Drosophila melanogaster: one gene and its partners. The protein of the gene in region 1 purifies or fractionates together with the protein of each later gene. This does not show direct contact. Each region holds a gene or a part of one and is shown on either strand. Other genes may lie near its edges. The genes, in order: coil, Parp1 and Fib.

Evidence for each region.
Region 2: the proteins of coil (region 1) and Parp1 purify together in Drosophila melanogaster (affinity purification with western blotting; one study listed by BioGRID). This does not show direct contact.
Region 3: the proteins of coil (region 1) and Fib purify together in Drosophila melanogaster (affinity purification with western blotting, with the first as the bait; one study listed by BioGRID). This does not show direct contact.

The regions. Positions count from the first base shown.
Region 1 is NT_033778.4:8,120,999-8,131,549, forward strand, and holds coil (coilin), read right to left. Parts: upstream 6,245-10,551; 5' UTR 6,202-6,244; coding exon 6,067-6,201; intron 6,012-6,066; coding exon 5,926-6,011; intron 5,872-5,925; coding exon 4,535-5,871; intron 4,476-4,534; coding exon 4,269-4,475; intron 4,212-4,268; coding exon 4,072-4,211; 3' UTR 3,983-4,071; downstream 1-3,982. Other genes in the region: Asap (ArfGAP with SH3 domain, ankyrin repeat and PH domain), read right to left, coding at 1,259-1,387; Nup50 (nucleoporin 50kD), read left to right, coding at 2,140-2,365, 2,422-3,551, 3,612-3,950; Socs44A (suppressor of cytokine signaling at 44A), read left to right, coding at 6,707-7,263, 7,326-7,797; Pbp49 (PSEA-binding protein 49kD), read right to left, coding at 8,497-9,630; CG42516 (uncharacterized protein), read right to left, coding at 9,694-10,146. UniProt on the Drosophila melanogaster protein: Component of nuclear coiled bodies, also known as Cajal bodies or CBs, which are involved in the modification and assembly of nucleoplasmic snRNPs. Required for Cajal body formation.
Region 2 is NT_033777.3:3,580,458-3,591,255, forward strand, and holds the start of Parp1 (Poly-(ADP-ribose) polymerase 1), read right to left. Parts: upstream 6,598-10,798; 5' UTR 6,523-6,597; coding exon 6,409-6,522; intron 5,054-6,408; coding exon 4,912-5,053; intron 4,857-4,911; coding exon 4,523-4,856; intron 1-4,522. UniProt on the Drosophila melanogaster protein: Poly-ADP-ribosyltransferase that mediates poly-ADP-ribosylation of proteins and plays a key role in DNA repair.
Region 3 is NT_033778.4:23,066,375-23,076,534, forward strand, and holds Fib (fibrillarin), read right to left. Parts: upstream 8,352-10,160; 5' UTR 8,221-8,351; coding exon 8,208-8,220; intron 8,090-8,207; coding exon 7,650-8,089; intron 7,595-7,649; exon of another isoform or gene 7,455-7,594; intron 7,269-7,454; coding exon 6,687-7,268; 3' UTR 6,535-6,686; downstream 1-6,534. Other genes in the region: PPO3 (prophenoloxidase 3), read left to right, coding at 1-400, 463-693; l(2)k09913 (lethal (2) k09913), read left to right, coding at 1,353-1,467, 1,573-1,754, 4,233-4,514, 4,591-5,181; CG3085 (uncharacterized protein), read left to right, coding at 8,881-9,092, 9,157-9,588, 9,646-10,160. UniProt on the Drosophila melanogaster protein: S-adenosyl-L-methionine-dependent methyltransferase that has the ability to methylate both RNAs and proteins. Involved in pre-rRNA processing.

The DNA of each region.
Region 1 (10,551 bases):
TGGAGGTCACTGGGCTGCTTGGGCTACACCAAAAATCCATCAGCAAAATTAAATATTAAATGTTTGACGTGGCGTCCAAGAAGGCGGCCCAGAGTTCCGGGAAAAACTGGGCATGACGTGACCGACCAATAAATCGTCTAATTTTGTTTCGCCGGGCGGGCGCTGCATTAGCCTGGGGAATTGGAGCAATATGTGTATATTGCACAACCGGCCCACTCAAGGGTCTTTTGGATGACAACATGGATGACTTTTCCACTTAGGCGTTCTGTGTTTTCTGTGGACGATATCCCCAGCTGACTGAGTGTTCCCGTACGGGAATAGCCGCGGTTCTCGGATTCGCTGCTCTTATCACACGCCTTTTTCCGGCCGTAAAATACTCTTTGTGTGCTTAGCTTTATCAGCGGGCGATTTATATCCGTGCACTTACATACATATGAAAGTGGAGGCGACATCACAGCTGCCTTGAGTAAATATAGAAATTACAGCATGCTTATGTGGCAGCCACTCCCACTTCGGTGCCCAGCCCCCAGTTCCCTGCGCCCCTAGCTCCATCTGCTCTTGCACGTTCCGGAATGCACTTTGTATTTCCATTGTACTATTTTTGTGGAATCGTGGAATCGAGGAAAAACCACCTTGCGGGCAGACAGAGAGAGAGCGCGAGCCGGGAGAGAGAGACCGCACTAAAATAACAGGCGGTGGCTCATTTTGGCGCCGCGCCAATTTACAAATCTGTCCGCTGCAGCCCCCCGGAAAATAGTAATCATCACCGTTTGGCAGGGGGCGTCGCCTGCCATGTTAGCTGCAGTATCGCGTGGTCACATAGCCGTGCTCCTGTTTTCACTTTCACCGACATCGATCAGATTCCATTAAATTAGGAACTTTGTTTTGCAAAACCGATTATTATTACAGATTATCCGCAGATGGATCGGAATTTTAATCATTGAAATAAACAAGTAATGACGATAACACATTCCTCACTCTCCGTAGCCTACGAAGATATTAGTTTTTGAACAGTAAACCCAATTTTTCAGCGGTTCAAATGCCTTTAAATTCAGTGACCCCTAGACTGTTTATATGTTTAGCTCAAATATAAAACTATATAGACTGGGATTCCCAGAACACACCTGTAAACCCACCAGGATAGCCCACCTTAAACTAGGGATTGCTTGGGCTGTAGGTACACAGATTGTTGGCTTTTTGGACTACCTGCCTCTACATAAGGAACATGGCTTAGGAATTGCCTGGTCAACACACTTACCTCTTCCAAGACGCCAATCGTGTGGCGGCAGTCGGGCATCCTCGAGGCGAAGGTGGAGGTGGTGGGCGAGCTGTAATCGGAGCGCGTCTCCTCCACAAACTCGGACACGGCAATCAGGGATGGCGGCATTTTGCTGCTCAGGATATCCCGATGTCCTGGTATATACAGCGTATCTTTTACTCACACGCACACTCACTCACACACACACACACGCGAGTCGCACGCACACCAGCTCACGCCCAAGGCCGTGGAACGGGAGCAAAATGGGAGTGGGAGCGGGACGGCAAATAGCTGAGAAACTACCAGGATAACGCCTTTAAGCACTGTACGTGTCTCTGCGTCTTTGTTCACTCCCGATTTGTGTTGTTGCTCGTCGCACTTTCCCTGGCACTATATCCATATATCCACACACTGGCGTTCTCATCATCCTCATGCAATTTGGCTTTTTGCTTTTCGCTTTTCGGTTTTCTGCGTTTTTGGTACTGCTCGTACTACTCGAGATGCACAATTAACTTTGTCTCTGGGCGAGGGAAGTGCGCAGTACCCGGAATCGCGGCAATCATGGTAGGATCAGAAACACACTCGGACTGGTACTGCTACTGTGACTGGGACTCGCGGCACTGGACATGGTCGTCCTAACTTTAGGCGTGATTTAATACTTTTGTTTTATTGCGATTTTGTGCTGCTGGCGTCTCGCTGTTGTTACCCTATCGATATGCTATCGAAAGCAGCAGGCCTGTTTCGCTGACTCACAGTTACGTCGCCCAACTGAGGTAGCGATAACATTTATCGACCGCCAGCAACGCGGTGTGGATTTTATTCGGTTTTTTTTTTCTTTTTCACTGGCATTTGCTTTGAGTTTTAATACAGAGTAGAACAAGATGGCTGGCAAGCGACAAGCCACTTCGAACCTGAACCACGAAAACTGGGACCTGGAGGAGGAACCCGAGGAGCGCGGCACATTCCGCACGGCCACCGAAGAGGAGCTAAAGACACGCGTTATCAAGAAGGCGCGCCGCAAGATTGCCGGTGGATCGTCCGCCGCTGAAGAGGATGGCGCCGAAGAAAAGACTGCAGAGCCCAAAAGTGTGTTCAGTGGCTTTTCCGGTAAGCTATCAAATCCATGCAGACCTGAGGGACTTGCTCACTCCGATTGCTTTTAGGTTTCGGCAAGCCGGCTGCGAGCCCAGCCGCGGGTTCGCCTTTCTCCTTCCTGGCCAATGTGACGGCACCAGCCACGACCTCTAGCAGCGAGCCAAAAAAGTCTGCATTCTCGTTCGGGTTCAGCTCCAGTTCCAGTTCGGCCGATCGGCCTGTCAGCACTAGCATTTGCGGCACCGCCAGCACCAGCAGCACGGCCCCCTCTCCTTTGCCGGCCAAGGAATCAACAAGTACCGTCGATGGCGCCAAGCCGACCACCTCGATATTTGGCAACATATCAGCTGCCAAGAAGGAGAGTAGCGAGGCCAAAACCAGCAGCAGCAGCACTAGCCTCACATCCACCATGGAGACCTCCGAGTACCGTGAAAGCGTTGCTGACCTAAATCGGTCCGTCATAAAATTCCTGCAGGACCAAATGGGCAAAAGTCCCTACTGCATACTGACTCCAGTGTTTAAGAACTATGATGAGCATCTAAAGGATCTGCAAGACGAGGAGAGCGCCAGAACGAACTCCACGAAATCCAAAACGGCACAAGCTCGTTCTCAAGAACCAGTTGCAAAGGTGTCCCGTGCATCGTCGCCACCAAAAGCGGCTACTACGTTTACGTTTGGCAAGCCCAGCGCGCCAATAGGCGCCAGCGTATCGCCCTTAGCCAAGAAACCCAACTGCACCATAACCAGTGGTGGAACAACCACCACGACCGCAACACCACTGGTCTCCTTCGGCAGTACGGCATCGTTCACTGCGCCAGTGCCGTCCTCCTCCAGTATCTTCAGTTTGACAGCAAAACCCACTGGAGAAGCCAAATCCGATGATACCCCTAAGTCCAGCATTTTTAGCTTTGGAGCAAAGGATACGACCACTAAAAAGGATGAGCCTAACTTCTCGGCACCGAAGACCAATGGCTTTTCCTTCGGACTGAAAAGTAACAACGACGACAAGCCAAGCACCTCGTTGTTTGCGGGTTTCGGAAAAGCGCCTGGAGGAGCAGGAGACGGCGCAAAGGGCTTTTCCTTCACCAACAGTGCCACGCCCTTCTCTCTCGGAAACATTCATCCGCCAGCTGCAGCGGCAGCGCCTGCGGAGGAGGAAAAAGAAGAGGATACGCCCCCAAAAGTCGAGTTTAAACAGGTGATGATAAAAGAATTTTCTTTTCGAAGGGAAAGATAATATAACTTCTACTCCAAACAGGTTGTGGAGGATGACGCTATATACTCCAAGCGGTGTAAGGTGTTCATTAAGAAAGACAAGGACTTTGGCGATCGTGGCGTGGGCACGTTGTACTTGAAACCTGTCAAGGACTCCGAAAAGATCCAACTGTTAGTCCGCGCCGACACCAATCTGGGCAACATCTTGGTCAACCTTATTCTTAGCAAGGGTATACCTTGCCAGCGCATGGGCAAGAACAATGTGCTGATGGTCTGCGTGCCCACGCCAGAGGACTCCAAGGCCACATCGCTGTTGCTACGCGTAAAGACCGGTGACGAAGCCGACGACTTGCTGGAGAAGATCAAGGAGCACATCAAGTAGAGGATAGACAACTAACATGAATTCGTACATATAGATGTTGTTTAATCGTTTGTATTTTAAAAGCTATAAATGTACGAAACCCTGGAAATAGAACTCAAGAATGTACACACAAAAATGATAATCAGTCAATTGTGGCTACAATGATTTTGGCTTCAAGCATATCTTTGAGATGAATACTTAAAGTTCGCACATCCTCAGAAGACTCGTCCAACCCACTCATATAATATTGACGCAACATGCGACCGATTTCGGGGGGATAAGCTAAAAATTTTAACGAGATCAGTTTCGGGTATACAATTTAAATTGATAGTCGCTTACTTATTGTTTCCACTGTGACAATTTTGGTGCGCCGGTTAACGTAAGTGCACCTCCCGGCGACAAATTCGGTTGTGCCAGAATTGGCGTTTCCCTTAATCTTCAGCAGTTTAAATATAACCGTATCGCCCCTGGACGGCAGGCTATTGAGTGGAGTTGCAGTCCGCAGTAGGTCCCTTATAATATCCAAAGATTGCCTATTTTCTACTACTAAGATGTCAAGGGCACTCATAAGCATACATCTACCATTTAAATGCCTCGTATCTCACCTGGAATCGGTTCAATATCAGAGTCGCCGTATGAAACGTCGATATTGGAGTCGTCTACCAACATCACATCGTCGTCGGAATCGGATACTAGTTGTTCCTCAAAAATGGGCACTGTTACCGTTTTAACATCCTTCGAATCAACGTTATTTTTAATCGGAGATGCACTTCCGTCATCTGGCAAAATTTTTTCGACTTTGGGTGTTTTTTCCATAGATGTGTTGTTCTGTAGAAATGACTCAGTAAGTTCAAGTGGATTAGTTGCTTCAGCTTCGGACGGAAGAGTGGTCTCAGCTTCAGTCGAATTGTCCAGATAAGCGGATTCAACTGCTCCTATGGCCCCCGGAAGAGTGGTTGATGTTTCAATGATGTCTTCGCAAAGAGGTGCAACTGCTCTCTTTATACCTTCTGAAACATTTTTTTTATCCTTTACATCTGGTAATTCTTCGTCGTGCAAAATTTCGTAGGATTTAGGCTTTAAGGTTGAATCCTTCCCATTGCTTGGGAATTGTTTAGCCGTATCATCACTCTTAGCTCCTTTCTGCAGCAAAAAACGAGGACTGATGGGCTTAAGTTTTTTATATTCCAGAATTTCAATTTGTTGTTTTTTAGTGGGAAATTGAAATATGCGCGGAACATTAAAGGGCATCTCCAAGAGAGGGGAGCGGAACGAAATCGATAGGAGGCTAGCAGCAATGCCAGGACTCTTCTCAATTTGGTCCCCTGCTTTCAGTTGAGATAGTTTATCCGGAATTTTGTTGGACTCCAAGTGTGTTTTGTCCTGTTGCTCCTCTCGAGTTTCGTTTTCCTTCGTTACCACACCAGATTTTTCTGATAGAATGTCAGGCGATGTCTCTTGATTCTTGCTTTCTGACATTTTACCCTCCTTGAGCGTGCATCGAGAAATACTCTTAGGAGCAGGTTCATTCTCTACCTGGTCAGATGCCTCGGGCGATTTGGTCGGTTTCTTGTTTTTGGATTTATTTTTAATCTGAGGAGCAGATTCCTTGTTCTCTGTCTCGATGTTCGCTGACATGTTAGAAACTTCTGTCTGAGTTTCAGGGGCCTTTGGAGTGCCTTTGTTTGTCAAGAGCTTTGATTGTACAGAAGGTCCAGGAGCCATATCTAGCAACTCCTTCTTTCTCACACGAGATGGGTTTTCTGCAATATTTATCCATTCTGAGTTGTTCTGGTTCTTGGAGCGCTTTGAAGGTCGGAGGGGAGTGGAGGCGGTTAGGTGAACCTGTTCCTCGACGGATCGATTCTTGCGCTTTTTACTGGATTTTACAGGAGCAGGGCTCACAAAGGTATCACTATCGTGGCTGGCAAACCGAAAGGCTCTGCAAGGGATGAATATGCTCAAGTAGATCGTAAAAAGAAATAAGCTCACCTACTTGAGTCCTTCGGCAGAGTTCAACACTTTGATAGACTCCCTCGGGGGCAGATAGCATCCATCTGAGGTGAGCAGACTAATGTCCTTCTGTTTGAATGCAATTTATTTAGAATTAGCAGTTAGAGATTCTTAAAAATCTTGCCAAGCTGAAGAGGTTTTGTATGTGGTCCTGGAGGTCCTTGATGTTGTTCCATGCTGCATCGATGAAAACCAACGAATTTCGTCGTTCGTCCTTGAAAAAGTTTGATAGATCCACCTTCATGCTGGAGTGTTGCATTTTTGACTTAGTTTTCTTATGATTAAAATGATTTTAAATGTGCTAGAGATGGAAGTATGTTCGATTTCGTTATCGTTAAATCGATGTGTTTAAATTTCTGTCAAATTAATGTCATATTTTTTGTAGCGATTTATAAAAATAAAGCTTATTTGAATGACAAACTACATTAATATTAAAAAATTGCAATATGGAAAACAATATATTTAAGTCAACGAGATTTTACTTGAAATAATTTAAGTTAGTTTTAAAAATGCCTAAAGCAGAGGGCTGTAATAATGGATAAATTAAAGCTTTGCCTTGCAGAGAATTTAATTTTTTAAACTCCCCTATGTTATCGATAGCATTTACCAGCTACGCACGACCGATAGCGATAAGACAGTTCTTGTGTACAACGAAAACAAATAGTTCTTATCAATAAAGTTAGGCATTGATCACGGCTCCGAATTAGATCAATGATGTAATTCCACCACGAGGAAGCTCCGATCCGATCCGATTCCACTCCAAAATGAGCCACGGCGACCAGAGTCAAAACCAGAGCAGCCAGCGGAGCCAGGCGCTCACTGGCGGTGGTGACTCCCCGAGGGACAGGGAGAAGGAAAAGAAGGGCTGGTTCCACTCGCTGACCAGGCGCAAGAAGTCCGACTCGGCGCTGGCCGTGACTGCATCCGCCGCCGTCTCCACCAGTGGATCGCAGAACAACAACAACGAAGTGTGCGTCCTTGAGGCAGCGGACTCTTCCATGGCCAGCTGCAGCAATGGGGGCACGGGCACAGGAACTCTGCGCAGAAGGCGGGACAAGGACAAGCGAAACGTGTTTGCCAGACTACGAAGGAAGGTGGGCCAAGGGCTCAGCTCCCTGCGAAACTGGCACTCCATGGGCGACTGCGACGACGGCGGAACTACTGATGCCACCTACGAGTTCCTTACGCCGGCCATCTGTCCGGAACCCACGCTACCATTCACACACGACTACTTGCGCTTTATCCGGAAGAAATGGCTTGAGCGCGAGGACGCCCACTCGCCCAACCAGATCATGTACAAGGCCTGCTCCGAGATGCTCAAGTAAGCGCCGTGTTTCTCCGTCCATCAACGATCGATGACTCATGCCCTTTGTTTGTTTTTAGCCAAGTGTGGTACTGGGGTGAGATCTCCAGGCGCGATTCGCAGCGGCAGTTGAGTGACAAGCCGACTGGGTCGTTTCTAGTCCGCGACTCGGAAACCAGCGGATCCCAATTCACGCTCAGCTTTCGGATTGTGAACGTAACCCTGCATTATCGACTGGAATATCGCGACAATTTTTGGCACTTCGAGGAACTTAAGTACGAGTCCATTGTCGAGATGATCGAAGATATCTTGCACCGCTGCACCAACGACAACTTTGTGTGCTTTGTGAAGGTTCCCAACGAGATGCAGCCACCGTTTCCAGTGATCCTCAAGTACCCGTTGAGCCGGTACTCCAACATGCCCAAGCTGCAGGACTTATGCCGCCGTGTTCTGCAGCGCCAGATGTCTCGCGAACAGCTGGCCCAGTTGCCAGTGCCGGCGCAGATGCTGGAGTACTTGTCGGTGGAGCGGGAGCTGGTCTTCCAGAGTTAGGCAACCGCCGCCCGCCGTCGAGAAGCCGCTGGTCAAAGCTTTAACACTGAAGTAAACGCAAGCGCGTACACCAAAGAGGTCCGGGCGAATGGAATCCCAGCCTGCAGTTGTTCGTAATGATATTTGTTGGTCGGATTGGCAATATGTTGTTGATGCATTTCTACGCCCCAGTAACTAAGCGCACAGTCTCTCTTCACGTGCACGCCGGAATCCCAGTGCACAGAATTTTACTGTATTGTACTGCTAAGTACGGTTAGTACTAGTATCTTGTCTAGGATAATGTATTATGTTATTTGCCATATTTAGTCTATTGGTTTGTTTTATATGGGTCCTGGTCAAGTCTATACTCTGCACCACAGTGTGCAAATCCTTAAGCAAATTTTTAAACATTGAACTACTGCATATATGTATTAACGTAAGTTCTAAGCCAGATGTATCGTACTATTTACGTTGTTTGCATTTTTGTATTCCTAACTTGGACACTAACTTTTTGCTAATCTAGATTGCATGGAATTTAGGCAGCTTTACGGCAATCGAATACGTTCAATGCCAATTACTCTTGTTGCAACGTGTATGTATTTTATTTAAATCTATCTATGAATATTTTACAAGAACAAAATATCAATCAACTCCTTGAGCGATCTTGCAGTCAAAGGAGCTCGCAAATAAAGAAAAAATCACACAAATGTATATGTATATTCAGGAGGGGAGATTTTGCTGTTTAATGTCCTCCTCTTCGCCCTCCAGCTCTACATGGTCATACATGCGATAGGCTTTGAACTGGCCCAGCTTGACACCATCCACGTAAAAGAAGCTGAGAAAACATCTGCGGCACAGGTAGGAGGGATCGTGCAGCTGTCGCCGGGACTGGTTCACGATGAAGCTATAGCTGCGAATGCCGCACATATAGCAAGTCCTGCGATTAAACGTACTGAAGGCGTGAGGATAGGGATACAGGCTGCGATCTGGCCGTTTACTAAGTGGCGTTAGCACCTCTACCTGGGAGATCACAAACAGGTGTTCGCAATTGCCGTGGTGCAGGTAGTGTAGCGGTGATCCGGGGCTGACAGTGAGATCGATGAATCTTTTGCCCTCCATACTCTCCACCTTAAGCGTTTCTCCGTTCACTCCGTTCGCTCTGGCAGCCCACTGCAAGACGGTCTTGGAATAGTCGGGATTGTCCGGATTGCGCTGGTCGTTGTAGAATGTGTCGTTGATGAAGAAGTAACCGGGATTTGTGTCAATGGATGGCAACGGTGCATCTGGATCGTCGCTGATGTCGACAAACCGTTTTCCATTGCAAACGCAGCTGATCTTGTCCCGCAGCTCGGTCAGATAATTGCTGCCCAGACATACGAACTCCTCGGCGAAAACGGGAATCTCCACCTTAAACCCGCGATGGTAGGCCCGCGGTGGTCGATATAGACGCACGGTTAGCTCCAGTTCGCCGCAAGCATCGATGTGCAGGTTAGGCGAGTCTGTCGGCGTCGGATTCAGTTTGTGGCTGTACTGGGTGCGGCCAAAGGGACACTTACGGGACTTGTCCTTGTGCTGGCTTAGAGCAGTAAAAGTGGAGGGCACATGCTGGTTCTCCTGCGGCGGAGAAAAGGTTGGGCGGCATTTGTCTGCGGCGGGCTGGAAGACTGCAATCGAGCTGTCGTCTGGGGACTCGATCAAGTCCAGGGAACAGCTTTCAGACACGTCGACAAGTACTGGGTTTTTTTGGAGAAAGAAGGGCACTTCGTCTGCAGTACCGGATATTTTCTTTTGATAGTCGGCTAGAAAGTCTCGCAGGCTTAAAGCTGGATTCGTTGTAATATAGGTGGTATCCATGGTACTAAGAGGTATGTCTTGAAAGAGTGTTTTTTGTTCAGGATTAGACTCAGTTCTCCACACTCAATGATCTTCTCCAAACTTGTTAATAGCCTCCTTGTAAGTTATATTTAGCTTCAGAGATTCTGGCTTTGGCTCGGTCTGATCGTCCTCTTCAGTCTCAGCCGACTTCTCCACCTCCTGGTGCAAATTGTCCACGTAGACCCTTTCAAAAGATATCACCTTGGTGGATTTGTCCACGTACTGGTACCGCTGGCGACACACTGACTCAAAAAGCGGATCACTTGCCAGATTGTCTTTTTCCTTCTCAAAGAACACGTTGGTTCCCACGGAATGTTCGTAGCGTCCCCGATAAATGCTTCCATTTACCTCGGCCATGGGCGTGTCACTCTCGATTCCGATGATCTTAATGGCCGCGTCCTCGTGCTTCAGCTGGTGCGGATGAATGTGGTTCTTGAAATCCGCAAATACCAGGTACTCTGTGTCCTCGTACTCCGAATCGGAGGAATCGTTCATGTTCTCCTTTTATCGTTATGCATGGGCCCTGATTGATGGTTGAATGATGGCGTTATTTCGCAATATATGACTTCCTTAAACAATAATTTGTCTGATTCCCATTTACAAAACCTTGTTAGAAATGTGCGTGCACATTCCTCTTCTTTCCTTCCTATGGTAAATTTAAAATGGCATTGTGGTGTGAAAATACTATTATTTTTATCATCCAAAGAACTGCTTTCTTAAATACCGGCAGTTATCGATAGGTAAACCCACCACCAAACCATCGAAACTATCGAGGCGAAAACTGTCATCGGTAAAAACGAGGCGAACACAAATCTGTTTCAATTTGTGTCAAAAACTACGTACGTTTTCGTATAGTTGTAAATATTAGTAAATAATAAATAAATAAGCTTATAAATAAAT
Region 2 (10,798 bases), on another chromosome or scaffold:
GAAAATTTGGGTTTCAACCTTAGAAAATGGATTTCCAATGTCTCAGAAATAGTGGAAGCATCGGAAAGTACAGAAGAAAATAAAATATTGGAGACCCGAGAAAATGAATCGATAAAAACTCTGGGGCTGCAGTGGGAACCGATCGAAGTTGAATTTAAATTCAAATTTGTACAGGTATCGATTGTAAATAAGCGAATGGAATCCACACATGCGAAAATGTATGACCCTTAAGACTGGTTGTCTGGATCAGAACTTATCAGATCCAGATGCCAACGAATGGAATACGTTCAAAGAAAACTTTACAAATCTAAAAAGTATTGGGTTCCCAAGGTGGGTAAAATCCCAAGATAAAATTCCGGTACAAATTCATGGATTCTCTGATGCGTCCGAAAAAAGTAAGCATTATAACTAGCAAAAGTTAATCCGAAAAAAAATCAAAAAACTATCCATCCCTAAATTACTAAATATTAACTTTCATCACTTTCAGCACATCTATTACCCTCCTCAGGACAGCAATATTAGGTCAATCGAAGGCTTATAGCTGGAGTGTTCCAACGATCACACTTACAAATGGGAATAATAAATGCAATTTTTTTTCTTATTTATTTATTTAATTTTAACCCTGCACACATAGCTACTAGGGGTGTAACAATAGAAAAATTACTAGAATGTAGAATTTAGTTAACGGGACCTCAAGACGCAAGAATACTGGCCAAAGCGGTTGAATTAGATAGTACTACATTAACAGAAGCCCAAAACAATTTAAAAATATCACTATTAGGAAAATGCTCCTATATTCGAAAGTTGGAGAGAATTATTGCATATATCTTAAGATTTATTAAAAAAAATAATAAAATTAAAATAAAAAATAAATCTTTTCCCACATATTTTAAAGCAAATGAACTTAAGGTAGCAAATGCATTTATAACAAGCAGCCGGAAATTCAGTTTAGTTCAGAGATACAATGTTTAAAGCACCAAAAAGATATTGATACTAAAAGGAAAACATTAGCATTGAACCCATTTTTAGATAAAGACGGGCAAAGAGTGGAAGGTAGATTACAAAACTACAGAACTAAATTTTATACGAAATTCTAGATACGTGTAATTTAACATCGTTAATAATCAAAAATGCACATAGGGAAACATTACACGGCGGAATTAATCTGGTTTCACACCAGATATAATCACACCAGATTATATTCAAAGAAAATTTTGGATATTTGGGTTAAGTAACCATTTGAAGCAGTCACTAATGCGTCCGGTTACACAAGGACAACAAAATATTAATAGTTCATCATAGTATTCAATGATGAGTAATTTAAGTAAGATTCCAAGTATTGTTTGGGATCCAGTAAAATTGTCTGCCGCTTACCATAACGAATAAAATAATAAATTAAGGAGGGATTAAAAGAAAGAAGAGAAAATAAATATGAATTAAAGGGCTTAATTTTCAGGCTATTAATTGTAGAATTAATAATCATGCTAATTTTAATTGTATATTTATAAGAGGAATTGTAGTGTCAAGGCGCATTCAAGAGCATTCAAGTTATTGTAGTATGTTAACAGGAAGCTTTTATATAGCCGGCAAGCTCAGCGTATTGGCAGAGACCGCTATGAAGCGTCTTTATGTTACGTTTTAAGTCAGTTTGTTCTGAATACTTATTTTATAAGGAGCACAAGCTTTCATACCGAACTCGACGATCCGCCGTTACATCCTTTTATTGTCACGCTATCTGAGTCTCTAGGCCAGAAGAAGTCGTCCTAATCGTTCTAATTCTACATTTGGATTTACAATCTTAAATATTTTACGAGATATTAATATATACCGACAAAACAAGTTAAATTTCCCATAGTGCACAGTTTTTATGCACAGTTTTTTACTGCTTGCGCCGCTGACACAGATATAAGCCCTATATTAAAATTATACTTTTTTTAAATGTATCCGAAACCGAAAAACAAAATTTGTGTTTACAATTAAATATTTGTTTGTAAGCGCAACAGTGTTACCTCGCTACATTAATAAACGCAAAATATAACTCCAAATGGTATGGTCCTGGTCAATTTGACCCTAACGATGGCCTTCGTGGGTCGTGACATACAATGACGCCATATTTTGGGATCTACCCGTTGTCAGACAACAGCCCTACTGCTGAACCGGTCATAACGTTAAAACAGTAAAGATAACGGTATAATGGTGGTCGCAAGCAAATGAGAAAGCAGCGACAAACGTCAACTAATTCGCTTACGTGTTAATGCTCGATCATAAAATCAATGAATGGGACAGCCGGATAAATCGGTAGCAGTGCTTTAAAGTCGTGCTTTTAGGGTATAATCTTAGTGGCTGCAGTTCCCTGTCGTTTACCTGGTAAATCCGTCCATCAATTTTTTTCTATCTTTTCTATTGTTTAATCATTTTAGTAAATAGGTCGGCTATCGTTGTTAAATTAGGTAACAAAAAATAATGGAGAAGTTCTCCATTTCTCATTGTTCTCATTGTTTTTTAACAAAAATTACTTTTTTACAAATTAGCAGTGGCATAAGTATTTGGACAAATTATTTAAATATTATTAATTCAAATAAAAAAAAGTCAACTAAAAAATTATGACAAATTAATAAAAAATATACCCTCCCTTACATCACCTGTTGCATACGTTTTGGTACAGACTGTACCAAGCTGTGGATATAATCTATTGAAATATCCTTCCATAAGGTTTGAATTTCCAAAATCGTTTCTTCGCGACTTTTAGATAAGTTTGCACGCCTTTTTTTGTTTTATATATGACCAGAGGTTTTCTATTATGTTGAGGTCTGGGCTTTGAGGTGGCTAATCCAATGTGTTTACGCAAACATCTTTCAGAAACTGCGTAATCAGTTTGACCTTATGCTGACCTTATACTCCTGCTGGAGTATGAAGGACTCTCCAAGCAATTTAGGGCAATGCATGATTATTAAGGACATCTATATATATTTTTTCCTGAATGATTTATTCACTGACACACTGGTGCCACTTTTTTACGATAATGTTTCGGTAATCTAACAAAAAAAAATTTTTTTGATCAGTGAAACTCAAAAGAGCTTTCATCGCTCCACAAAACATTGTTTCAGAATGATGCTGGCTGTCCAACATATTTTTTGGCAAAGTCGTGGCGTTTTAACTTATTTGTAGAGTTATTGTGGTATAACTCTGCTAACATATGTTCCAAAATCGGCTTCCTTAAGACGTTCCTTCACTGATATCGATTTCTGTTCCTTCTTTTAGTTCTTTGGCAACCGATCGGGGAGTTTGTAGAACATTCTGCTTAAACTTCCGTATAATATAACCATCGCCCTTTTGAGTTGTTTTACGTGGTCGGCCACTACGCGCAACGTTTTTGGTTGTGTGTGTTTTTTTATATTTATTTATTTGGTAATGCACCGTTGCCCGTGGAATTTTGTATAAATCAATGATAATTTGTACCGAAATACCAGAGTTATACTTAATTATTATTCAATTTTTTATAAATTCGCTCAGTTTCTTTGTTTTCCCCATGTTTAACAAATTTATGAATGAAATAAAAGTAGGCAGTCCCACGTTATCAAGAAAAAATGTTCAAATGATCTAAAAAAAAAGTCGAAAATTTGATATTCTTCGAACAACAGATCAATGCGAACTAATTAAATGTGTCTAAATACTTTTGCCACGGCCCAAATCGTTGCCTGTCTAGCTTTCTTATAAGCACAAGGATAATTGAAAAGGTAAACAGCCAAACTTACCCTTCGTGTGTAACTGTAATTGCACTTTTTGTTTTATCATCAATAGTTTACTTATTTATTTGACTGTACTATGAAAAGCCCGGCAGTTTCAAGCTAATGGTGTCTAAATACTTATGCCCACTAGTGTATGTACCTTTCCAGTATAATTTTAACTCAGCTGTTACATTTACGCTCAAATAATCACGACCCAGCCTAAATATAGCGAAAAATAGTTACATTATTTTCCTGCGGCGATACAACCAATGCCCATCGATTAAGGTCGACTTACATATATTAAATAACATTGTTAAATTCACTTGACTTTTCGACAAACTACAGGCGAAGTTATAGTTGATTTCCTCTACAATCTACAATTGTCAAAAAACTTTTGATATGCCCGCTTCACTCGGATCTGCATGTTTAATCGCAACCCAGTTTTATAGTTCCCACAATCACATCGTTCATACGGACATGGACAATTCGAGTCTTATCTTTTAGGGTGGGATCGATTATTTAATTTTTTTAGTGCCGGAAATGTTGCCTTTACCTGATAAATATTTTTTAACAAAGAATATACACTATTGTACCTATATAGTTGAAGGGCATCCCCAACTAAGGAATGACCAAGAAGAGATCAGAATACTTAGTGGATCAAATTACAGTTATCTATTTCAGTTTACAATCTTCAGTATAATCAAGCTTATTTTCTTTAAGAGGGATAACTTAATAATAGCAATGCAGAACAGTTACAGAACAGTTAATAGAAATTCAATGTGAGATTAACTTACGGTATGGCGTTTTTAACTTTCGCTTGATCATCATCTGCTAAGCTCTGAAATCCTGGCATATCTTCACCTGACGCAAACCAGCCAAGCTCAGAGCGCAATTGGGCGAAGCATTCCAAATGATGCCACAAAGGTTGGCCTCCGTACTTCATACCAACTTCAGTATCATAAACAGTTTTACGTAAGCGAACTAGATCCTTGTTTATTTTTTGTTCACATCCACGACACGTCGATCGACTAGATTTTGCATATTCAATCCCAAAGTCTTTTAATGCTAAGTTAAAAGCCTTCGATCGCTTTTTTCCTAATTGTGCGCTTATAACTTCTTGTATATTTTCTAAGTACATTTCAAAATGTTTTTAAATTGATATAGATCAATTTTAAATACTAACCCACAAGATCCGTTAATTCCTTTTGATCGGCAAATCGGAGATTTCCAATGTTTTGTATGTCTCCTACTGAGCTGGGACGCTGGTTTTTAAAAAAGCAGGTTTTATGAAACCAATTCGGAACTTTGGCATCATGAAATGCAGACTAAAAAATAAGAAATACAATAAAATAGTTTCTTTGTCTTTCGTTCGTTTGGTGTAACCGTTTCAATTAAAAAATAATAATAAAACGATTTTTCAAAAGTGTGTGCGTGGCAGTTTTGTGCAATTTTAGGGCTTTAAAGTGGGCGTGGCAAGTCGATAGAAATTTACAGAACTAATAAAAATGAAAAAAAAAAATATCAACACGTTTTTCAAAAGGGTTGGCGTTGCAGTTTTGTGCGGTTTGTGGGCGTTAGAGTTGCCGTGGCAACATGGGTCATGCTGCATCTATGTCTCTAGAATCTGTATGCTAAATCTCAACCTTCTAGATTTTATAGTTCCTGATATCTCGACGTTCATACGGACAGACAGACGGACATGGTATTCTTGATTGGCCTTGTCCTTTTGTATGAAAGCTATGATCTCGAAAACTATAAAAGCTAGTATTCATGTTTCGCTCTGTGAAAGTTTGTTTCAGAACGATCATCACCATGTGAGGACATGGCGAAAATTCAGCTGGTCTTACAATTTTTGCGGCCCCAACCACAGAACTGCAGCAAGCCACTGGCACTCTTAGTACACCCGCACCCACCAACTGGGTGTCTATACCCCCGGGTGTTTTTTGACACTCTACTTTCGGCAATAAAAAATATCCGAGTGTTTCGCCTGCTGCGAAATAACCCTTTGGGTGAGCGACTCACAAGCAACATTTTTATAGGTTGAAGCGTGACGGTAGAAGAAATGAAGGGTCGGTCCCACTGTCGGTCCCGCTGTCGGTCCCACTGTCAGTCCCACTGTTGGTCCGACTGTCAGTCCCGCTGTCGGTCCCACTGTTAATCCCACTGTCGGTCCCACGTCAGTCCCGCTGTCGGTCCCACTGTCGGTCCCGCTGTCAGTCCCACTGTCGGTCCCACCGTCAGTCCCGCTGTCGGTCTCACCGTCAGTCCCGCTGTCGGTCCCACTGTCGGTCCCAATGTCGGACCCACTGTCGGTCCCAATGTCGGTCCCACTGTCAGTACCAATGTCAGTCCCGCTGTCGTTCCCGCTAGTTTCGATTTCACGTGATGTTTGAGGACCTGTTTTCGTTTCTTCGGCCGCACGCATTGCCACACGCACACTGGGCCAGAGAACTGCAGCAAGCCACTGGCACCCTGTGGGTGAGCGACGCAAGTATTTGTGCCCCCACCGCTACACGATTTACCGCTGGCAATTACATGCCGCAGCTGTCGACGACCGATGGGACTAACGGCGAATCGGGATCTTTTAAAGTTTCGTAAATCAGTATCAGTTTAATCAAATTCATTTTCAATCTTTTATCTGCAGACTACTTACGTATGTATGTACCACATAGTAACTTACTTGAACCATGACAGCAATCCGAAGAGTATCTTTAGATATAGTACTTTTACATCCTTTGCAAGTGGCTCGTCCAGTTCTTGCATACTCAGCAAGATAAGGTAATTCAATATCCATATTACACTTTAAAGGAAGTCAATTTCAAGACATTTATTATTTATCGAATTATGTTGGCGATATTTTCCTAAATAATAAAATTGTATATCGATGTTAAAGACTACAAAAATATTATTATAGACGATTTCCAATGATTCTAAAGACCTTGTACAGGAGCTCATTCCGTAATTAAGCTGTATTCTGTTATAAGACGTACGACTGTTAACTATATAACTTTGTAATTGAATTCGGCAACATTAAAATTCTGTGTCGATTATACACCAGCTAGTTTAACAAGAAAGGGTGGTCATTTGGAAGATTAAGAAGGAATGGTAATTATGTTCTTACTGAATAATAACACCGACCGTTTTAATTAAGGTCTGAAACTGAACTCAACAAATTGATATGGATTGATTGACTTTGAATCCTCGGCCTCGAGCTTTATAAATATGGGCTTTGGATTTTGGAGTTCCAATGAAATAAACAGAGCTTTGGAGTTACTAACATTGATTTGTCTTTGCATTTCTCTTGGACTCGAGTTCATTCGCTATTGGATACAAACGCTCTTAGATCCTCACGACTTTGTTTATTGAAATCTTAAAATAAAGTTTTCGATTATCATCCTGTATACGACTTTGGGCTTATTCCAGTCAGGATTGCTTTTGGTTTACTAGTGTTGTTCTTCTATAATAAGAAGCTGTGTGTAGGCATGTGCTTAAGTCTAATGGACTTATGGATATGCCACTCCCCCAACCATTAGTTTTGGCAAAGACACTAGAATAACAAGATGCGTAACGGCCATACATTGGTTTGGCACTATGCAGCCACTTTTTTGGTGACGGCCAAAATTGCTCTCTTTCCGCTCGCTCACGCTGAGAACATAAGAAATCTAAAAATAGAATTTGCTTGCTTGTGTGAGTAAAAACAAGAGACGAGAACGCGTATATGTGTGCGTGTTGTGCTAGAAGACGATTTTCGGGCCGAAATCAATTCTGATCAAAGAAATGAATTTACATTGTACATATTAGGGTAGTTTTTTGCCAATTTCGTAGCAATATGATGAAATAAAATAATTTTTAAAAATTCGCGCCCTTCTTATTATAATTTTAAAATTTTAATTTTAATTTTAAAATTTTTTAATTTTAAAGCTTTTTAAATTCGTTTGTTAAAATCGCCGCTCGAATTAGCTACCGTTTACATATTTATATTTATGTTGATAATTATTTATGTGTAATATGTGTAATAGTCGGTACCCAGGGAACACCACGGGGAGGCCATTACAATTGTAATGGGGTCTTATATTTACGTATATGACCTTCGAGTCGACTTGAAATATTTTAATGTTTAACATTAAAACATTTCCACATTCCCCAATTAAGTTATTTTTCTAACTATTGTTTTTTATTATATACTGCTCGATTTTTCAGTCGTCAGTTATTTAAATAACATACTGAAAAACAACTGAATCTAATGTGCATTTTAAATAATAAAAATGGATCATTATCATATATAAATCATATTAAGTCAAATGACTTAATAAGTATGCTAAATAATTAAAGGAAGTAAAATATAAATTATTATAACTACTTATAACAAAAGGAATACATTACATCGAGAAATAAATATTTCATAAAAATAATACGAAGTAGAAAATACAAATTTGTAAAATAAATAAAAATATGAAAACTGTTTATTGCAAAAGTCACATCAAAGACACTAGAATTATTCTAGTGTCTTTGCTTTGTTCATATCTTGAGGCACGAAGTGCGGACACAAGCACTCAACAATCATTGCCTTATTAATTTTTCACACGCCGCAAGATGAATACTCTAATGACAAATATTCTTATATAAAGTCATTTTTGAAATTTATTTTTGTGATATTATGTACATAGATTTGGCTATTTCTAATCTATTTTCAAATAATAATAACGTTAAGGCAATGCAAAACAAGAATTTTTCGCATGGTGCCAATTGATCAAAAATAATATAGATTTAAAGTCTAAGAACTTCTACGGTGAAGGGCATATTTTGTCAAATTTACAATGCATGAGCATACGTGTGCACACATAAAGTTGTCTGCTATCACTGTATGCGTAGAAAAGAGCGGTTCGCTGTAGCGCTCTCCGCTCTCTCGCTCTCTAACAAAAATTCGAGAGAGCCTGGAGCCACCTCTAGAGCCACGGCGAAAATATCGTGTGCCAAAAAATCGTATGGCGTTACTCATCTTGTTATTCTAGGGTCTTTGTTATATGCAATCCGACTTAAATAAATTTGTATGTATGAATAGATCAGTTATTTGTTAAATAGCAAAGTTTCTGATCTCTTAAATTTGTTTTTATATCCTTTTTTCAAAAACATAACAAAAAATCTTAATTTTTTGGCTCAACTGAATATGTTTTACACTTTTGACTTCACTTTTTTTGACCGCGTGATTGTAAAGAGTTAAATCTTTTTGTATTCTAAAATTTAAATCATCTTTATCATCTTTTTCTAAAATGGGCCGCGGATTTATTTATTTATTTATTTTATCATATTGCTAGGAAATTGGCAAAAACTACCCTAATATGTACCATGTAAATTCGTTTCTTCGATCAGAATTGATTTCGGCCCGAAAATCGTCTTCTAGCACAACACGCACACTTATACGCGTTCTCGTCTCTTGTTTTTACTCACACAAGCAAGCAAATTATATTTTTAGATTTCTTACGGTCTTAGCGGGAGTGAGCGGAAAGAGAGTAATTTTGGCCGTCACTTAAAAAGTGGCTGCATAGTGCCAAACCAATGTATGGCCGTTACGCATCTTGTTATTCTAGTGTCTTTGCATATAACTAAGTTACAACGTTCAAACCTAAACAAGTAGTCAAACCCATTCAGTTGAGCGGCTCTGTAAATGATATCGTTCAGCTTTCTTCAGTTGGACGGTGTGGTCATATTAATAATATGATCTTTCTACTGCAGTTCGTCTTTTTTTTTAATGTTTAGTGTTTAGGATAAAAGCTTCTTGTCATTTTTGTTTGGTTACAAATTAATATACGTATTTGAATTTTATTTTTAATGTAGCATTCAAATACAAAATGATTAAAATTAATAATAAAAATGATATTGATATTTTCTAATTGTAATTGTTTAAAATATTAATGTTGTCAAGAGTAAGTTCTGAATTGTTGGATTTTATGTAATCTGATAAGTCCAGATTCTTAAAGTGGTTAGTGGTTATGTACTCAAGTAATTTGTTTTCTAAATTGGTGTATCAAATATTATTTATTGTAGTTGTGCTGTTGAAGGTTATTAAATATGACCCGTCTAAATGAGAATTGCTTACAATATTATTTCCTATTATTAGAATGGCACCTTCTTGAATGATATCTATATTCTTATTTTTTCTCGTATCTTGGTGCAAATTTAATTCTCTCCATTTAGTAAGCGGGTAAAACAAGTTTTATCTTTACTTAAAATACCATAGTTATTAGAAAGTTTGTTCTTAAAATTAGATATTTCATAAAAAGTATTTTCCCATTTGGCGATCTGATTAGTTATTAGTGAATGGATCTGGCAAAATAAATTTCACATCTTTTTGTTATTACAGGGTACTTGATATAAATAATTAAGAGTTCGTTATGTACAATTATGAATACGGAGATATCAATTAGATCTGCAATAATTAAAGGCTTTTGTTAGTGATTTAATATTTCCTTAATGTCTTTTGTTTGGTTATGCAGCCTGCAGCCAGCAGCAGCGAATCATAAGTTATTTTATTATATCACTTTTATACATTGCTCTGTGCACCAACAGATTTTGCATTCCCCTTTGTGCTATGTTCCTCTCTCTTAATAGTGAGCGAGCACAACTGTTTATGTGCAACTGTTTTGTACAACTTGCTCATTTGCCTTCTCCATAGCAAAGTCAGTCACAAATTAAGTGTTGATCTTACCGGTACTGCTGTGATGCACATTAACTCTTAATCGGTTCGGTACGGGGACTGCCACAATATTTGGTGACCCCGACGTGATCGGTAACATTTCTTTATCGTGAACTCAAAAACAAAAATTTTGGTGCACTTTTGTGTGTACATAAGTGGCTGTACTTTTCGCCCTATCTTCTTTTCGTTTATCGCAAGCATTCGCTTGCTCTCGTTTCGTTTTCTGTTTCTTTGCTTACGCAGCTAAGCATTCACGCGTAGCAGCAGTTTCTTCTTTGCCGACCGCCAAATTCATGTCGTTTTGGCTGTGCAAAAAAGAACCGACTTTGTGCATAAACATACATCATTGCTATTTGTAATGAGGTCCAAACTGGAC
Region 3 (10,160 bases), about 15 Mb from region 1:
TCGGTTCACCCATCTGCAGCACCACGAATTCAGCTACACCATCAAGGTGGAGAACTCCAGCGAGGCCACGCGGTATGGCTACGTGCGCATCTTCCTGGCGCCCAAGCTGGATGATCGCAATGCACCCATGCTGCTGGAGCAACAGCGCCTGATGATGGTGGAGCTGGACAAGTTCGTGGTTACCATGCCTCCCGGCAGCCATACGATCACCCGGAACTCCACGGAGTCGAGTGTCACCATTCCGTTCGAGCGCACCTTCCGCAACCTGGACAAGCTGGAGGAGCTGCAGAACTTCTTGTGCGGCTGCGGTTGGCCCCAGCACATGCTGATTCCGAAGGGTCGGCCCGAGGGTCTGCGCTTCGAGCTCTTCGTCATGGTTTCCAACTACGAAGAGGATAAGGTAAGGTGTCTTTAGAGTATACTGCGAATGCCTCCTGATCCCAATCCTCTTTCCTTGTGCAGGTTGACCAGACGGTCGCAGATTGCGGCTGCAGCATCGCCGCTTCCTACTGCGGCCTGCGCGATCGCCTCTATCCGGATCGCAAGTCCATGGGCTTCCCCTTCGATCGCAAGCCGCGTCGAGGCTCCGAGATCCTGGAGAACTTCCTGACGCCCAACATGTGCGCCGTGGAGGTCATCATTACCCACGAGGACCGCACCGAGAAGCTTCGCGAGGTACCAGCTCGCTCCTGAATAAGAGAAGCATCTTGTTATGGCCAGTTTCATTTTTTGGCTTAAAGAGAAGCCACTAATAACGGTCTATAGCTTTCTCGCTGTGTAGAAAATACCAAATAAATTAATGAAATACTATCAGATGCCAAAATACCAGTTTACCGTTGGAACTCCCCGCGAACGGTCACACTGTGCTGCGGTTGGGGGCGGAATTGAATTTATTTGCAAACAAAAATCGAAACACGGGAGCTCGACGTTAGCGTAAGTGTTACGGCCACCGATTCAGCTGCTGGCCAATTAAAATATCATCGATGTTGCACACAGATACGCCGCACAGACACTCACGCACACACGCACCGCCTGGGAGCAAGATTCGAGCCCAGAATCTCAATTTGATCAATTTAGCATTCTGGCCATTTGACAATACAAATTGAGACTCGTCTGCACTGGGTACAAAGTTCAGTCCGTGTGCATTGGCCTGTGCCTGTGTGCGTGCATTCGGGCGTGTGTGCCTGTGTGAGTCTGTGTGTGCAGTACGCAAATGAGAGGAGAAAAAGCAAGAAACCACTGCCAATCATTTTTCAGTCTGTGTCCAAAGCGCTTGTGTGAAAGTATTCTGATTCGCCCGCCCGCCCGTGAAAGTGTTTTCTGCAATTTTCCGCATCCGCATTCGCATCACAATGGCTGCGCACTTTTTTCGCACTGCATTTTACGCAACGGCGGCCAGAAAATCGATGAGTCTGCCCTTCGCCGGCCGGACAGCCGCAACTCTAGCCGTGGGCCTATCATTCGGTGGTAAATCCCTGTCCTCCCGCATCTCACCGACTTATTTATAACTTTTGCATTGCCCACCATCCCCACCGCCATCGCCACTCCCAATATACCAACGCACGCGAGTAGCGCAAAATAGCCGGGCAGCCGTGCCGTACGAGAATGCCTACGCGGACAGCTTCTTCGGGGGCTGCCAGACGCAGGGACTGCTCCAGCGGATTCCCCAGACCGGATACATCCAGCCCCCGCTGATGCGGAACTTCTCGAGCCTGCAGACGGGCCACCAGCAGCAGCAGCAGCCGGCTCCAAATGTAAGCATATTGATTGGTTCTGGTCCTCCATCGATTCTGGTAACGTGGATTCCAGCGACTAGATTTCCACTAGGATGCACTCCAAATTTTGACTCTTAAAACTTATCTCTTCAGTTGTTGCATTACTTACTCGTATGATTAATCAAAATTGCGAACTTTGATCTTATGGTTCAGATACTCTTAGAATCCGCTCTATCTTCACATTAAGACATTATTTCTTTAGTTACTTATTCTAAAGCAAAATTATCTCCACGACGCAAGTAGTTATGAAAATATATATGTACTTTACAAAAGGATAAGATAAACCTGAACCGCCTAAGATTAAATGTAGTTGTCCATGACGCGGTCAACGTAGTTAGCATTAGAAAATAGTTTTACAGCTTAAAAAGCTTAAAAAAAATGACAATAGCTTCGATGCATAGATCAGATATCATACGTGGATGAGCCATAAATTGCAGGGTATACGCTAATGAGCTGTAGAGCAGCTTGTATTGAACATCTGTTGTTGATCTGCGGTTGAACCTTTAATTACCTCCAATTCGCTTCTTCATTTTAAGCACTTTATAGTTGGTGACTTTGGAAATTTGCATGCTTGAGTAAACTGTAGTCCCTGCACTTTGTACCCGGCAAATGATTTCGGTTTCCAATCTCTCCCAACCTCGCTTCCTCTGCAATGGTGATTTGTACAGATAAGCTTAGCTTACTTTGTATATATTTGTAAACATATGCACATATTCTAATCGTTGTTTTGCAATTAGTGAAGGCTCATTAACCGCTTGAACTAACCATACAATTAACGATATTATTAATTTATGTCATCAATATTCCAGTTCCATTGAACTACTGCCCTTATCCTGGGGCACACTTCTGGATCCACCCTCGCATTCAGCAAGCTCAATTGAGCTGGGGCACAGCTTTTTTCACGATTCAAATCATAATGGCGCCCCAATGCCAAGCTTTCGCTCGATCCGCCAAATGTTCGTGTTCTGTGTTTATTTTTAGGCGGCAAGTTGATACCCAAGTTAAAACTTAAGTCTGGGTATTTCGGATTCAAAGATAGTCACTATACACTCATCTATAAAGGTTAGTGTTAGCTATCAACAAATTAGGGCAGAATACTGCTTAATATAAAAAGAATCCTGTTAAGTTAAATTTCACATGGTATCTTTTAGTCGAGACTAAGAGTTCACCTTTCGCAAATGGGACTGAGGCTTCCAGTGCCGCAATGTAATTTAAACCAATGCCGCAAAGAGTAGAAAAAACATATTCCTCCCTATACACACACACACATCAGCTGAAATAACTATGTACCTTCCATGGGGATTGGGAATGTAAGCTCGCCTCAATTCCGCTCAACTATCCGTGATCGTTCCACTGGATCGCTGGACTATATGCTATATAATGTGGATCAGTCAGTCGGTCAAAGTCGTTGCACCTGCTTAGTTTTATCTTCGATATGGACTTCCTAATTGAAATAACATTACTGGTCATATTGGCAATTATACTGCTGAAGATCTATCATCGGGCGAAACGTGTGAGTGGCCATACAATTTGGGGTCGTCGGTCAAGTTCAAAGTGTCAAGCCAAAGTGAAAGTGTGCTCCAGCATTAAGTCACGATTTGTCTCAATTATAATGAGCCTCATTTAACTCAATAGTGCGGAAACTGTTAGGTCACAATAATGTTTCACTAATCTAAATTGCAACTGCTTATCGTCAGACTTTGCGGGGCTATCTTCGAACTTATAATGCTATCAGTCGGCTTAGCCTTGCTGAAATGGGGGAAAAGAACCTAAAACCTTTGCACCTCCTTCATTTGGTCACTTGCCTTCGTGCTTGCTACAAGCAACTTCTGATAACTCGCCACTGAAAACGGTATGAAAATAGTCTAGTCTTTTGATTTCCTTATAAATCACAGTGTTTGAGAGTTCGAAAAGTGATCGTAGTAATTGAATATCAATCGCGGTAACATGATTCCATGAAATAACCAAATGCACACACACCTGGGCTTATCTTATCACAAACAGCTGTTCATGATTGTAACGTGTTGAGCGAGTTTCAAGGTCAGCAGCTGTTGCCGAGGATAAATCAGTGCTAAAATACTTAATATAAGTATTCCCCCTAATTTGCATGGATTTGGGTGCCCCCGCTAATCTGCAGCCGATCGGACCATATTAACCACTTAAGCTTTCATATCTTATCAGTTAGCTGCTCAGTTAGTGACTGGACCTATCCAAACTTTGGTTCGCAGGGCGATTAGTTCATGGAATAGCCTAGGTGTAATCGCTTGGTCGCACATTTGAAGAGCGGAGAGAATCGAAATCGTATGCATATTTGCTTAGTTATTGAATTCTAAACGTATGCCTTGCACTCCAACTTGTTTGTTGTTTCTAAAGTTTCATTTTACCCACCCAACGCACTAACCATCCCGCATCAGCTGTGCCCGAACATGACTAATAGCCCGTTTCTCCCGAACTCAGAGTGCCATGGCGCCGTCGAACAATCGCCGGTACTTATCCTCGCAGGATATTACCAAGAACATGACCCTGTACACCAGCACCAAGACCCAAGTTGAGGTGGATCCCAAGACGCTGGCCTTCAAGAAGCCCACTGGCAACCCACTGGTTCTCATGATGGCCTGGCTGATGGCCAAGCAGAAGCATCTGAAGAAGTATGCCCAGATCTACACTGAGATGGGATTCGATGTGGTGGTGGTGCACATTACGCCGTGGCAGCTACTCTGGCCGGTCAAAGGATCCCAGGTAATAGCCGCCCTTCAAAGTTTACATTCCAAGTTGAGTCATTCAAACACTAATGCATCCATTTCCTGCTGACCAGGTGGTGGCCGCCGAGACTATTCGATTCCTGGAGAACAACAAGTCGTACGAACCCATTGTGATGCATGGCTTCTCCGTGGGCGCCTACCAGCTGGGCGAGATCATGCTGCAGATGTCGCGCGACATGGATCGCTATGGTAGCATTCTGGACCGCTTCGTGTGCCAGGTGTGGGACAGCGCCGCCGACATCACCGAGATCCCGGTGGGCGTGCCCAAGTCGATCTTCCCGAGGAACGAGCGAATGCAGAGCGCCCTGCGCAACTATACGCTGTACCACCTGAAGACATTCCACAACCAGGCCACCATCCACTACATGCGCTCCAGCCAGATGTTCCACTCCACGCTGCTCAAGGCCCCGGCGCTGTTCTTCGTGTCCGACAACGATCCCATCGGTCCGCCGTCCTCCAACCAGTCCGTTCGCGAGGACTGGGAGCGTGCGAACATCAAGGTTACCTTCAAGTGCTGGGAGCGGTCCCAGCACGCCGCCCACTATATACGGCATCGCGAGGAGTACCTGCAGACGCTGTTCCAGCATCTGGAGACCTGCGGTGTCTTGGAGGCCATCGGCGTGCCGAAGCGCGCCAAGTTGTAGGTGTCTCTAACGAGGAGCGGCTGATCAGTTCAGTGATATACATTTATTCAAGAATCAATGCGATTATGATTTTACCCTAGTTGCTAAGACCTAAAGATTAACGAGCAATGTAAAACCAATGTCCTCTTTGAATGATTATGATCTGTGTGTCTCTCGCGAGGCAGAATCTTCAAAAGCCCGCACGGGAAATTCCTAGGCTAAGCTTAAAGTCGTATTTCATCAACCGAGAGAAGAATGCACTACGCCTCTATATTGTTACATATATTTTGAGATCGCTGCAAAACAGCTAAATAAAGTAATTTAAATGATACGAACACATTAAATGAGTGTTTCAATCAAGTATGTGCTGGTTAAACAAGTATTTTCACAAGATATATGCGATGAAAGATTCTTAAAAGGTCTGAAAAAATATCTCGGGTTAAAATTGGTTCGACAAAAAAAAAACGTGTTACAACTACACTATCGCTGCGGACAGGACTTGAACCTGTGCGGGTAGAACCCAATGGATTTCAAGTCCATCTCCTTAACCACTCGGACACCGCAGCCTTATTGAAGTCCGCTCCATTTGTCACTGATATCTCTCCCTGCATAATTCTATGCTGATAAGCATCTGAATTTCTGCAAAGCGATGACAGTAAATCACTAGATATTTGAATGCAGAAATATGCAGTTCAATTTCTTCAATACCACAAGTTTTAGTTTAATTGATAGCTGCTCTTCATGACATGTGCTCATACTTCTATATGTAAACTATTAGCTTAAGTGAGAGCGAACTAAAAAATAATGTATTGCTACATTATTTTATTTATTTATGTATTAAGCTAATAATCTTTATGGATTCATTAGCCCCACGTGAACGAAACTCCAATTTTCATTAAGAATGGCTTAAGCCGAGACACCACCCCGTGAATAGTTCTTGGTTCGTGTCTGTATAAATGGTGCGTCATACCTGGCGAAGATAGGTGAGGGGGGTGCTGAAATCTATGCTTCATACCAAATAGGAACTTTGCCACCGGGGCGACACAGTTGCGGTGTCCGAGTGGTTAAGGAGATGGACTTGAAATCCATTGGGTTCTACCCGCGCAGGTTCGAATCCTGTCCGCAGCGCAGAACTTTTTTTATTTTTTATTTATTGTGAATTTGCAGAGGGTACTAATAGCTGACCTTAATATTTCTTTGACATTTCATTGTTAAGCATTATACTTTCTGTGATGAAGATGAAAACAAACTAGTGTATACCAGCCTTGCCCAACCATTTTCCGCAATACCCCTCAGAAAAACCACGTTTGTACAAAGATTGACTTTAAAGATCTTCATCTTTCATAGGAACTCCATATTGTTACACTGGCATTTGGTTTTTGTGTATATTTTGTACGTCTGCTACAAAAATAATGTGCATTTTGATTTATCTTTATAACTACGGTTTTATATTTAAAAGAAACTTAATACAACTCGTCTGTATTAGTACAATAGCCTTAAAACTAAACCCAGCAGAAAACGACTTCTTACTGCTTGGGCGGTGGTCGGTAGACGCCAACGACAACGGCGTGGTCTCGCTCGTAGGGCTCCAGCGTGAGCTGCTCTTGGGGCTTCAGCTTGTCCGCCTGCATCTTCTTCACCTCGGCAGCGAATACCGCTTCGGGCTGCGCCGTCGAGTCGATGCAGGAGGCCTTGATCGAGATGACAAAGTGTCCGCCGTTCTTCAGGAAGTGCTGGGCATTCAGCGCCACAATGCGGCCCTGATCCGGCTGGGCAACGTCGGCGAAGATGGTGTCCACCATGCCCACCAGCATGCGGTACTTGTGTGGATGGCGAGCGTCCTCGATGATGGGTATGATGTTGGTGCGCTTCTTGGCCACGTTGATCAGATCGCGACCGGATCGGTGTGAGAACTCCACGGCGTAGACCAGGCCCTCGGGTCCCACCACATCGGACACATGCGAGACTGTCGTTCCGGAGGCGGCGCCCAGGTAGAGAACCTTCGAGCCCGGCGGCATGTGAATCTGCTCGACGCCACCCAGAACGGCGGCAGCCAGCTTGGAGCGGAAGGGATTCCACACGCGGTACTCAATCTTCTCGCCATTGGTCTGCAAAGAAGAACAGATTTAAATCCATTGCTCTTTCTTAAAAATTATAGCAGAAAGCAAGAAGTAAGTAAGTTGAGTGAAATACAGAGTTGTTTGGATTGTTCAGGTAGCTTCAAATCACTTTTCAAGATGGTGGACTTGTTTGGGTTCTGTTTGTTTTGGGATAGAAGGGTAGATAGATAGGAATTCGCCTCAGTTGTGCATTATTCTAAGCAGCCCTTGGAGCTCCGCGACTGCTTCACGTGCACCTGAAGTGCACACAGCCACAGGTGACCGCCAAGGATGCTCATGGCCACATGATGCCATGTTCTGTACCCCTGCACAACCTCATCATAAGCTAGGAATAGGGAAGGTAAGTGAATAAAGATGAGAACAACAAACCTCAACGGAGATGCGCTTCTCGCCGTAGACTTCGGATCCAGGTACAAAGTTCCTGGTGACCAGAGCGTCCTCCTTGCCGCGCGCAATGAACACTCCCTCGTGACGATGCGGCTCGATGGTGACGGTCTTGCCGCCCTTGAAGCCGCCAGCACCACCACCACGTCCTCCTCCGCCGCGACCACCGCCTCCACGGCCGCCGCCACCGCGACCACCGCCGCCGCCACGTCCTCCGAAGGCACCACGGCCGCCGCCGCCACCACCACCGCGACCACCTCCTCCACGGCCACCACCGAATCCTCCACGGCCACCGCGATCGCCGCCGCCACCGCGTCCACGGCCGCCTCCAAATCCACCGCCTCCTCCGCCGCCGCCGCCACCACGCCCACGGAATCCACCTCCTCCTCCTCCGCCGCCGCCGCCACCACCGCGTGGACTGAATCCTGCAATAGAAAAGATCCGCATTTGAATTTCGGTTGACTCAGAGGTTAAGTTGGAGACTATCAAAAGCAAAGGCGACGCCTGCTTCGATTTGTATCGTTAGAGCGTGATTTTACGCACCTGGTTTGCCCATTTTATGTTGCTGTACTTGCACTTTTTAATACAACTTTCGACGAAATGTGATTGAGTCCGTCAACACGCGGCAACCAAAACGCTTGAAAAGAAAAACACGTGTGTGCCGGAGTGTGGCCGCAGCAGTGATTTTAGTGATAATATACAGAAGTACAAAGGCGAAAATACCAAGAGAATGATGTTAGTGTGTGTGTTAGGTGGGAAACTTGGCTGGGACTGTAGCTAAGTTCAACACCAGGCGGAGAGGCAATTGTGCATAGTGGTACAAAGGTTGAAAAACTGTACATTTTATTCTTGGATATCTTGCAAATAATGTAATTCTTTTTTTTTTGTATTCAATTCAAAAATTGATTGATCAATTAAATTATTGATTGATTTATTAAATTAATTTAATTTTTATGAGCCACTACATTATTATATTTTACTTATTTGATGCATGTAACTATGGAAGTATATGATTAATAATTACAATCCCGTAGTCCTTGACAATGACCCCAGTGCCTTGGAGATCTAGTGTTCGTTGACCAAACAAACAGCCACTTGAAATCGATGTTTGAGAAAAACGTTCCATTCCGCTTTGAGAGTTCTAGTTGGGAGCACACACTTTCTGAAATTGTTAACGCATAAATCCTGCTGTTTTACCTAAACTTTTGCAAACATAATGGCCTTCCGCTCGGTGGTTACGATGGAGAAGCCGCTCCAGCACATTTCGCTGACGGACTGGTATGCCCGTGTGAACCAGATGCGGAATGTGGCGGATGCCCGGAGGTCGGACGCCTTCGCCATCCGCCACTCATCCCGATCCTTGAGGAACGAGACGCGGATCGAGGGCGACTGGGCCAACTACGAGACAAATGAGGCTCTGACCGATCGGTGAGTGTCCATATCTTATATTAAGATTAACAGCACGATTAATAATCTGTAATTTATACATCAGCATCTCCGAGTTGAATCGCTGGCGGGATATCATTTCCAAGTCCTTCGAGAAGATCGAGCGCGAGATATTCATGCTGCAGGAGGAGAAGAATGCCACGGAACGGGAGCTGGAGGCGTTGGCAGGTCCGATTTCCGTGATAGCCGAGTGCCTGACCATAAGGGACGGTCGCCTCGGATCGGAGATCACCTACGATGAGGCCGACACCGAGATCAAGAACGAACTGGTCGTGCTGGAGAACAACCAGCGCCTGCTGGCCGATCGATGCCAGAAGGCGTGGGAGAAGCTCAATCGTCTGGAGGAAGTGCGCTTCAAGATCGGCCTGGAGATCGAGTTCAAGGTGGAGGCGGTGCAGCTGGACAACTCACAGCTGGCGCTCGATCGCAACTCGGCCAATATCTCATACAAGCCGGATCCCACGAGAAATCCCAAGAAGTAAGTCACACATGGAATGTCCCAGTAGCTCAGTAGGATAACTAACCAATCACTTAGCTCCTGTTCCTACGAGTCCTGGCTGGAGAACGTGAAGAACATAAAGCTGCTGGCGGAGAATGAGCTGGCCGACACGTACGCCATTCGGGAGGCTTTGTTCGTGTGCCGCGAAAAGGCGCGCAACATGCTGCAGTCGCAGCAGGAGCGGGCGGAGCACACCATCCGCAAACGGATCTTCGAGACGCAGCGGGCCAGAAACGAACTGGAGTGGCAGCAGCTCAAGATGAAGGAGGAGATGGAGAAGGCCATGTGCGAGATCCGCACCTCGGAGAATGCGCTGCGTGACAAGACGGATGCACTGAAGCTGGCCGAGACACGCCTGGAGAATCGTGCCCAGAGGTCGGGCATGGAACTGTGCATGGACCAGGCGCACGACATGCTCTGCTTGGAGGTGGAGAAGCTGCGAGAGATACGACGCCGACTGCAGGTCAAGATCGACGAGAGCAAGACCAACTTTAGTCTGCTGGAGGAGCACGGCAAGCGAATCGACGTGGATCTGGAGAACAAGCAGCACT